2 linked regions of the Mus musculus genome follow. The protein of the gene in region 2 interacts with the protein of the main gene of each other region in a biochemical or structural test. Links are inferred from orthologs where the notes say so. Each region holds a gene or a part of one and is shown on either strand. Other genes may lie near its edges.

The links.
Region 1: the proteins of Pkd1 (region 2) and Hdac9 form a complex in vitro, tested with the Homo sapiens proteins (2 studies listed by BioGRID, with this or other methods). The link is inferred for Mus musculus from reciprocal best matches to the Homo sapiens genes PKD1 and HDAC9.

The regions. Positions count from the first base shown.
Region 1 is NC_000078.6:34,914,239-34,918,616, forward strand, and holds the start of Hdac9 (histone deacetylase 9), read right to left. Parts: upstream 2,858-4,378; 5' UTR 2,816-2,857; intron 833-2,815; 5' UTR 761-832; intron 1-760. UniProt on the Homo sapiens protein: Responsible for the deacetylation of lysine residues on the N-terminal part of the core histones (H2A, H2B, H3 and H4).
Region 2 is NC_000083.6:24,573,939-24,577,543, forward strand, and holds part of Pkd1 (polycystin-1 precursor), read left to right. Parts: coding exon 1-2,305; intron 2,306-2,499; coding exon 2,500-2,649; intron 2,650-3,580; coding exon 3,581-3,605. UniProt on the Homo sapiens protein: Component of a heteromeric calcium-permeable ion channel formed by PKD1 and PKD2 that is activated by interaction between PKD1 and a Wnt family member, such as WNT3A and WNT9B. Both PKD1 and PKD2 are required for channel activity.

The DNA of each region.
Region 1 (4,378 bases), on a different chromosome or scaffold from region 2:
CAGCAGTAAAACCCTAAGACAATAATATTGAATTTTCTTTGATGTTAAATTTGAACTTGGTGATCATTTATCAATGTGAGATGACTAAATTTGAAGTGCCTTTTCAAGGAACACTATTTTCAGTGCCTCTAAGAGTTAGTGTTAATTAAGCTATAAACAAAAGTAAATAAAATCATCTGGGTAGTGGTGGTGCACACCTTTAATCCCAGCACTTGAAAGGCAAAGGCAGGCAGATTTCTGAGTTCGAGGCCAGCCTGGTCTACAGAGTGAGTTCCAGGACAGCCAGGGCTACACAGAGAAACCCTGCCTCAAAAAACCAAAACAAAACAAAACAGTAAATAACCAGTGACTTAACAAACTAATTTTTTTTTCTAATTTAATCTTAGGTTTGAAGACTTTGGTATTGGTTTGGTGGCTCAAAAGCAAGGTTTTATGCTTTTTGCAAAACTTTTTCCTTTTGCAAAATGGTTGTTGCTCCAGCCATTAAATCTACTTTCTAGAAAATAAACAAACAAACAAAGCAAAACAAACCAAAAAAATCCTAGGCGTTAAGGACACATAAGATAGGCAGCACGTGCATCCAGAAAGCCAATAGTTTCCTCAAAATGCTGAACAGGCTTAAGCCTGATCTCACAGTCTCACTGAAGGCCAAGGTGGGGTGCCACTAGAGAAGGCTGATCCTTATTTGCAAGGAAAACGGAGAGGAACACGTTGCATTGTATTTATTATTTCCAATAGTGTTAAAAATTGAACCTGGTACCTTGTAAGTTTTCAACCTCTGAGCTACATCCATAGTCCAGCAAATATTTTCAATTCATTATTTTCCCAGCCTCTGTACCAGAGAAAGACAAGGGAAAGAGACTTATAATGAATCAGAGAACCATCCTAAAGTATCTTCTATCATTCCTAAAGGCCAATTTCCCTAAAAGTGAAGAATGTGTTAGCAAGATTTTGTAACCAAATGCTTTTTAGAGAGTGTGCTTTGGCTTGGGGAGAAAACTCACTTGGTAGAAATGAAACCTGGTTAATACTCCCCTGGTTAATCACCCACCTCTACAGAGGCATGAAAGCAAAACCCACAGCCAGGCATGACCGCACACACATGTCATTCCTGTGACAAGCAGATCCATGGGGCTACCTGGCCAGCCAGTGAACTGCCGTCAGCAAGCCCCAAGCCAGTATACACTTCCTCCAAGAGCAAGGTAGATGGCAGCTGAGGAGTGACATTTGAGGTTGACTTCTGGCCTACATATGTAGAGAGATAGGGGTATGAGGGACACAGATGTGAGACAGGACATATTTTGTTACAGAATATCATAGGTCATCAGCAGTTCATTCACCTGATTTTTAGCAAGTACAATTAGTTCAACTCAGTTTTACAAACGAAAATGAGATCCAGGTTTAAATAACAATCACGTTGCAGTTACTCAGGAGCTAGGACAGAGTCTGCTCTGTTCTAATGCAGACCTCTACCACAGCACACCATCCTCCACCCAGTCTAACTATGCCCATTGTGCCTGCTTGGATTAAGTCTGTATTTTGTTTCAAGCTCTTAAAAAGTAATGTTTCTCCTCTTTCCATCTTCTGAGCCAAGTTCCAAACTCTCAGTGTTGCAAAAACCCTTTGGCGCCGAATGGGTTAATGTTATGCTATGACCTTCACTTTCCTGCTGTCCCCAATCTAAATCTTCCATTATTTGATCCTGAGACTTTTATCTGCGGACATTAAACTCACTGAGCATAGTTTCCTTCCCCAAAGAGAACCATAACTGTCTACAAATGGGGATGTTCCCTCTGCTGTTCTTTGGAGACTGGAAGACACAGTATGTTCATTTCATAAAACAATTTAGAGAAAATTCTAATAAAAAGATCCCTCTGTTTCACAGTGATTATTAATACAAAGTTGTTTTGCAATAGCTGTGATTATTAAGATTTTTAGTACACATCATTTCACACACTATAATTTTTCTTATATTTTATGAAGAAATATTAGTGTCTGGAGTTTACATATCATGAGTTCTAGTTCTTTATTTATATTTGCATATGATTGCAAAATATTTTCAAAGTTCCCAGTGACTTAATTTCTGTTATTACTGATTTATATTTAAAATATAAAATATTATTTCATCTAAATTGAAAAATAGCAATAAAAAGCTTTTATATTACTCATGACTGGCAAAACTCTTTTAACAGGTAAAATACCAATCACTTCAGCTTAAATTTATACCGACTTCCAGGAAGCTCCAAATGAGGGCTCAAGGAACAAGGCAATGAAAGAACAGAGCACAGAACATGGAGCGTGGACTTATCAGAACATCATTTCTCTGAAGTCAATACTCAAAACAGTCAGGTGATAAATTTTACTAACCTTGCCTTCCTAATATTTCTTTATAAATCTTTCTCTTTGTAAATATATATATATTTACAAATATATATATATAATGCAAGGTTTGCAAATATCAGGATAATGAGCAAGTAATATCAATAGACAAGCAGTTATCATAAAATCTGTACTTCCTTTCTTTGATATGCACAATTGCAGACACCCTTCCTCCTCTGAAAGGTTTCTTCCTCCCCAGGAAACTGGCCTTTAACAGCTGAAGCACCAGTCTATTCCATGATGTCTTGCTTCCTGGACTCATGAGCACAGCTGCTCTGAAGTATCTCTGGATAGATGCTCTCACTAGAAAAGCTTGCCTTTCAAAGTCCCATATATCAGGTCACTTTACCATGCTTATCTCTGGGGAGTAGCTTAGAGAAAGACGTGTGTTCTTCCCATAGGAAGGAACCACAAGTAGTAACAATTCAATACTCACTTTCCTTATTGCTGCAACAAGATCCATGGTAAGCAGCAGCTTAAGGCAGAAAAGGTTCCTTTTGGTTTATAAGTTGAGAGTCTAGTCCATCACAATGGGGTTGGCATGGCAACAGATGCTGGGGGCAGCTGGCCACATAGCATTTTTGGTCAACAAAGCAGAAAGAAGTTAATGCTGGTGTTCTGCTCAGACAATAAGATGGTACCACCCACATTCAGGACAAGTCTTCTCTCCTCAGTTCAGCTTTCTGGAAATGCCCTCATAGACATAACTAGAGGAATAGTTCCTTTGTTCTAAATGTAGTCACTGACAAAAATGAAGGCATTTCATTCTTGAAAAGTTTACTTCAGCTTCATAATACGAAATATGCTTGGCTCATCTCTGCTTAGTACCAAGTACCATAGGGCTTAACAATCCCACACTATTCAAAATCTGAAGTACAAGGCAATCTCTTAAAGGTGAACAACTAAAAATTTTTTAAAACCAAATTAAATACTTCTAACATACAGTAACACAGAGACACACATTCTAACAGGAAAAAATAGACCACAGCAAGAAAAGCTTGATCCAGAGGAAGACCCAGACCCAGCAGGGCAAACTGTAGCTTCATATCCAGTATCTGTGGAGTTCTTGAGAGACTATTCCTGGCTCTAGTAGCACTGGCAGCCCCACTCCTCCCGGTCTGCTGCCTACAAAGCAGGAGCCTTCTCTCCTAAGCTAGCTCCACTATATCCCTTCAACTATCCCTGGCAGACGTCTGACAGTCCTGCATCTCCAAAACCTTACAGTGGCTACCACAGCTTGGGCTTCATCATTCCAGCCTCATGATTGGCCCCCAGTGGCTTCCTCACAGGGAGTCTAACCCTGTCATGCGAGCTGTTTTCTGGAACCTCGTGGTAAGCTTCCATGACTCTCAACGCCAATACCACGAAGAACTACAGACAACAAAGGAAGGATCATATTGAGAGATATAAGAAAGTCTTCACTAAGGAAGAACATAACAATTGTTTATTCAGTGGCCCAAATGGTCAGCCCTGAAACATATATAAGCAACATTATATAGTTTGAGCAGGTTATATTAGGAATACATATGTTTATGTGTTTGTATATGAGTCATCTCTGCACTACAAAATAGCCTCCGGCTGCTGTCTGCAGCGAGGGCAGAGTTCACGTCCCAGGTCACAGGGAGGTCTCCTGGACAACGTAGGTAGGGCTGCACGGCTGGTGGACGAGGCCATCTTCAGCCAATGCATATAACAATCATTGATCTATGAACAAAAAGGCTATGAATTTGAAATAGAGCAAAGAGGGCTACATGGGAGGACTTGGAGAGAAGGAAAGGAAGGGAGTAATGATATGATTATATTATAATCTCAAAGAGAGAAGAAAAGGAGATAAAAGACACACTTTTAAAATTAAAAATTAAAATTAAAATTAAAATTAAAAATTAAAAATTAAAAACAAAAAACAAAAAACAAAAAACAAAAAACAAAAAACAAAAAACAAACCCAGCACCTGGGTGACATCCACCGTGTACTGCTGCCAACTTCAGGTGCAGCCTGG
Region 2 (3,605 bases):
ACTCAACATCACCGTAAAGCAGCGTGTGCGGGGCCTCACCATCAATGCCAGCCGCACAGTGGTGCCCCTGAATGGCAGTGTGAGCTTTAGTACCTTGTTGGAGGTAGGGAGTGATGTGCATTACTCCTGGGTGCTCTGTGACAGATGCACACCCATTCCAGGCGGACCCACTATTTCCTACACCTTCCGCTCTGTGGGCACCTTCAATATTATTGTCACAGCTGAGAATGAGGTGGGTTCTGCCCAGGACAGCATCTTCATCTATGTTCTCCAGTTCATTGAGGGGCTGCAGGTGGCAGGGGGTGATAACGGCTGCTGCTTCCCTACCAACTACACACTGCAGCTGCAAGCTGCAGTTAGGGATGGCACCAACATCTCTTATAGCTGGACAGCGCAGCAGGAGGGCAGCCTCATCACACTCTTCGGCAGTGGCAAGTGCTTTTCTCTCACTTCACTCAAAGCTAGCACCTACTATGTCCATCTTAGGGCCACTAACATGTTGGGTAGTGCCGCAGCCAACCGTACTATAGACTTTGTGGAACCTGTGGAGAGTCTAATCCTATCTGCATCCCCTAATCCAGCTGCTGTCAACATGAGTCTCACCCTTTGTGCTGAATTGGCTGGTGGCAGTGGTGTTGTTTACACTTGGTACCTGGAGGAAGGACTGAGTTGGAAGACCTCCATGCCATCTACCACCCACACCTTTGCTGCACCTGGCCTGCACTTGGTCAGAGTCACAGCTGAGAACCAGTTGGGCTCAGTCAATGCCACAGTTGAAGTGGCCATACAGGTGCCTGTGGGTGGTCTGAGTATCAGAACCAGTGAGCCAGATAGCATCTTTGTGGCAGCTGGCTCCACTCTACCCTTCTGGGGTCAGCTGGCTGAAGGTACCAATGTGACTTGGTGCTGGACCTTGCCAGGTGGGAGTAAGGACAGCCAGTACATTGCTGTGCGCTTCTCCACGGCTGGCAGTTTCTCTCTGCAGCTCAATGCTTCCAATGCAGTCAGTTGGGTCTCAGCCATGTACAACCTCACAGTAGAGGAACCCATTGTGAACCTGATGCTGTGGGCCAGCAGCAAGGTGGTGGCGCCTGGGCAGCCAGTCCACTTTGAAATCCTGCTGGCAGCTGGCTCTGCTCTTACTTTCCGACTTCAGGTTGGTGGGTCTGTCCCTGAAGTGCTCCCTAGCCCCCACTTCTCCCACAGCTTCTTTCGGGTTGGAGACCATCTGGTGAATGTGCAGGCTGAGAACCACGTGAGTCATGCCCAGGCACAGGTTCGCATCCTAGTGCTGGAGGCTGTTGTTGGGCTGCAGGTACCCAACTGCTGTGAGCCAGGCATGGCCACAGGCACTGAGAAGAACTTCACAGCCCGGGTGCAGCGAGGTTCCCGAGTTGCCTATGCCTGGTATTTCTCCTTGCAAAAGGTTCAGGGTGACTCATTGGTTATTTTATCTGGCCGTGATGTCACCTACACACCTGTGGCTGCAGGGTTACTGGAGATCCATGTGCGTGCCTTTAATGAACTGGGTGGTGTGAACCTCACACTCATGGTGGAAGTCCAGGATATCATCCAGTATGTAACACTTCAGAGTGGCCGCTGCTTTACCAACCGCTCAGCCAGGTTTGAGGCTGCTACAAGCCCCAGTCCACGGCGTGTAACCTACCACTGGGACTTTGGGGATGGGACTCCGGTACAGAAAACAGAGGAATTCTGGGCTGATCACTACTACCTGCGTCCTGGGGACTACCATGTAGAGGTGAATGCTACAAACCTAGTGAGTTTTTTTGTGGCACAGGCCACAGTGACTGTCCAGGTGCTGGCCTGTAGGGAGCCTGAAGTGGAGGTAGCACTGCCTCTGCAGGTGCTGATGCGGCGTTCCCAGCGCAACTACCTGGAGGCCCATGTTGATCTACGCAACTGTGTCTCCTACCAGACTGAATATCGGTGGGAGATATATCGTACTGCCAGCTGCCAACGGCCAGGACGTATGGCTCAAATGGTACTGCCTGGTGTGGATGTGAGCCGACCCCAGCTGGTGGTGCCACGGCTGGCACTACCTGTGGGCCACTACTGCTTTGTGTTTGTGGTTTCATTTGGGGACACACCATTGGCACGGAGCATCCAGGCCAATGTGACAGTGGCTGCTGAGCGTCTGGTACCCATCATTGAAGGTGGCTCATACCGGGTATGGTCAGACACGCAGGACCTGGTGCTGGATGGGAGCAAGTCCTATGACCCTAATTTAGAGGATGGTGATCAGACACCGCTCAACTTCCATTGGGCCTGCGTGGCTTCAACACAGGTCAGCCATGGGGACTTAGAGTAACAGGTCCTCCCTGACTCTTCTATCTTGTGTTTCATGTCTATTAAGTGCCTAGCACTTGGGTTATTCCTGGGGTGGGTCTTAGGCCTAGCATAAAAAAGGTTTTCTAAGCCAGGCTCTGCCTTAAGGGTGGTTAACAATCTTGTGCCCCATTTCCTTATTTGCTGTCACAGAGTGAGACAGGTGGCTGCGTGCTAAACTTTGGGCCCCGTGGGAGCAGTGTGGTCACCATCCCCCTGGAACGCCTAGAAGCTGGTGTAGAATATACCTTCAACCTCATAGTGTGGAAAGCAGGTCGGAAGGAAGAAGCCACCAACCAGACAGTGAGTCACACCCCCACCCTCCAGTGTGTCCTCATGCAAGAGCAGTACCAGTTCCAACCTGGTGTTTTTCAGCCCCTGGGGCTCTGAGTTCTCTTGATAAATGATCAAACTCAGCATTGCTTCTATCTGAAAATCCAGGACACAGCAGATTAGTAGTGTGAAATTTGAGAGGACAGGTTAGCCTGGTGCCACCTGTATCATCCCAGCACTTTGAGAGTGGAGGCAGGAAGACTGGAAGTTCTAATCTCACCAACACAATGATAACCTGTGTCTGAAAACCAAAACAAAATCTTAAGTCATACAAGCACCCTGCTTTTCGAAAAATGAACTTTATGCTACCAGCATGAAAGGCAAGTAATGAGAAAGCAAGGCCCTTGCCTACCTAGGCAGCAGCACCTATCCACATAACATGGCCTTGCTTCTGGGGGCAGTGAGCCATTCTTGCTGTCATACTTCTTCCCTGGACCTTTCATAAGGATAAGGACCACTTCACCTGCAGGCTGATGAGGCCTGCCAGTGTGTGTGGAGGGGGGCTGGGCAGTCCTGATGCCTCGGAGTGGGACTGCCTTCCCCAGTATTAAGCCTTCTCAGGTAGGAAGAGGACACTCAGTAGGTCCTGCCTGACTGAGCTGTTCCAGGGCCCACTCAAGTCAGCCAGCATCTCTGGGACAGAGCTATATAAAAAACAACTGACCTTGACTTCCTGGATGCTTTGTTTCTATCAGTGGTGCCCATGGGCTCCTACTGCCAGGTCAGCAAGGCCCTGGGCTGATCCACTCACATGCCCTTCTGGATTTAGCTAGTTAGCTCACTTACTTCACTCCAGAGGCACAACCTGGAATTTGCTTCAAATGGGAGTGACCTGGTCCAGGAAGCTTTCCCAGCATACACAGAGTGTGGAGCCTCCCTGTGACACGCTTGTCCCTTCCAGGTACTGATCCGAAGTGGGCGAGTCC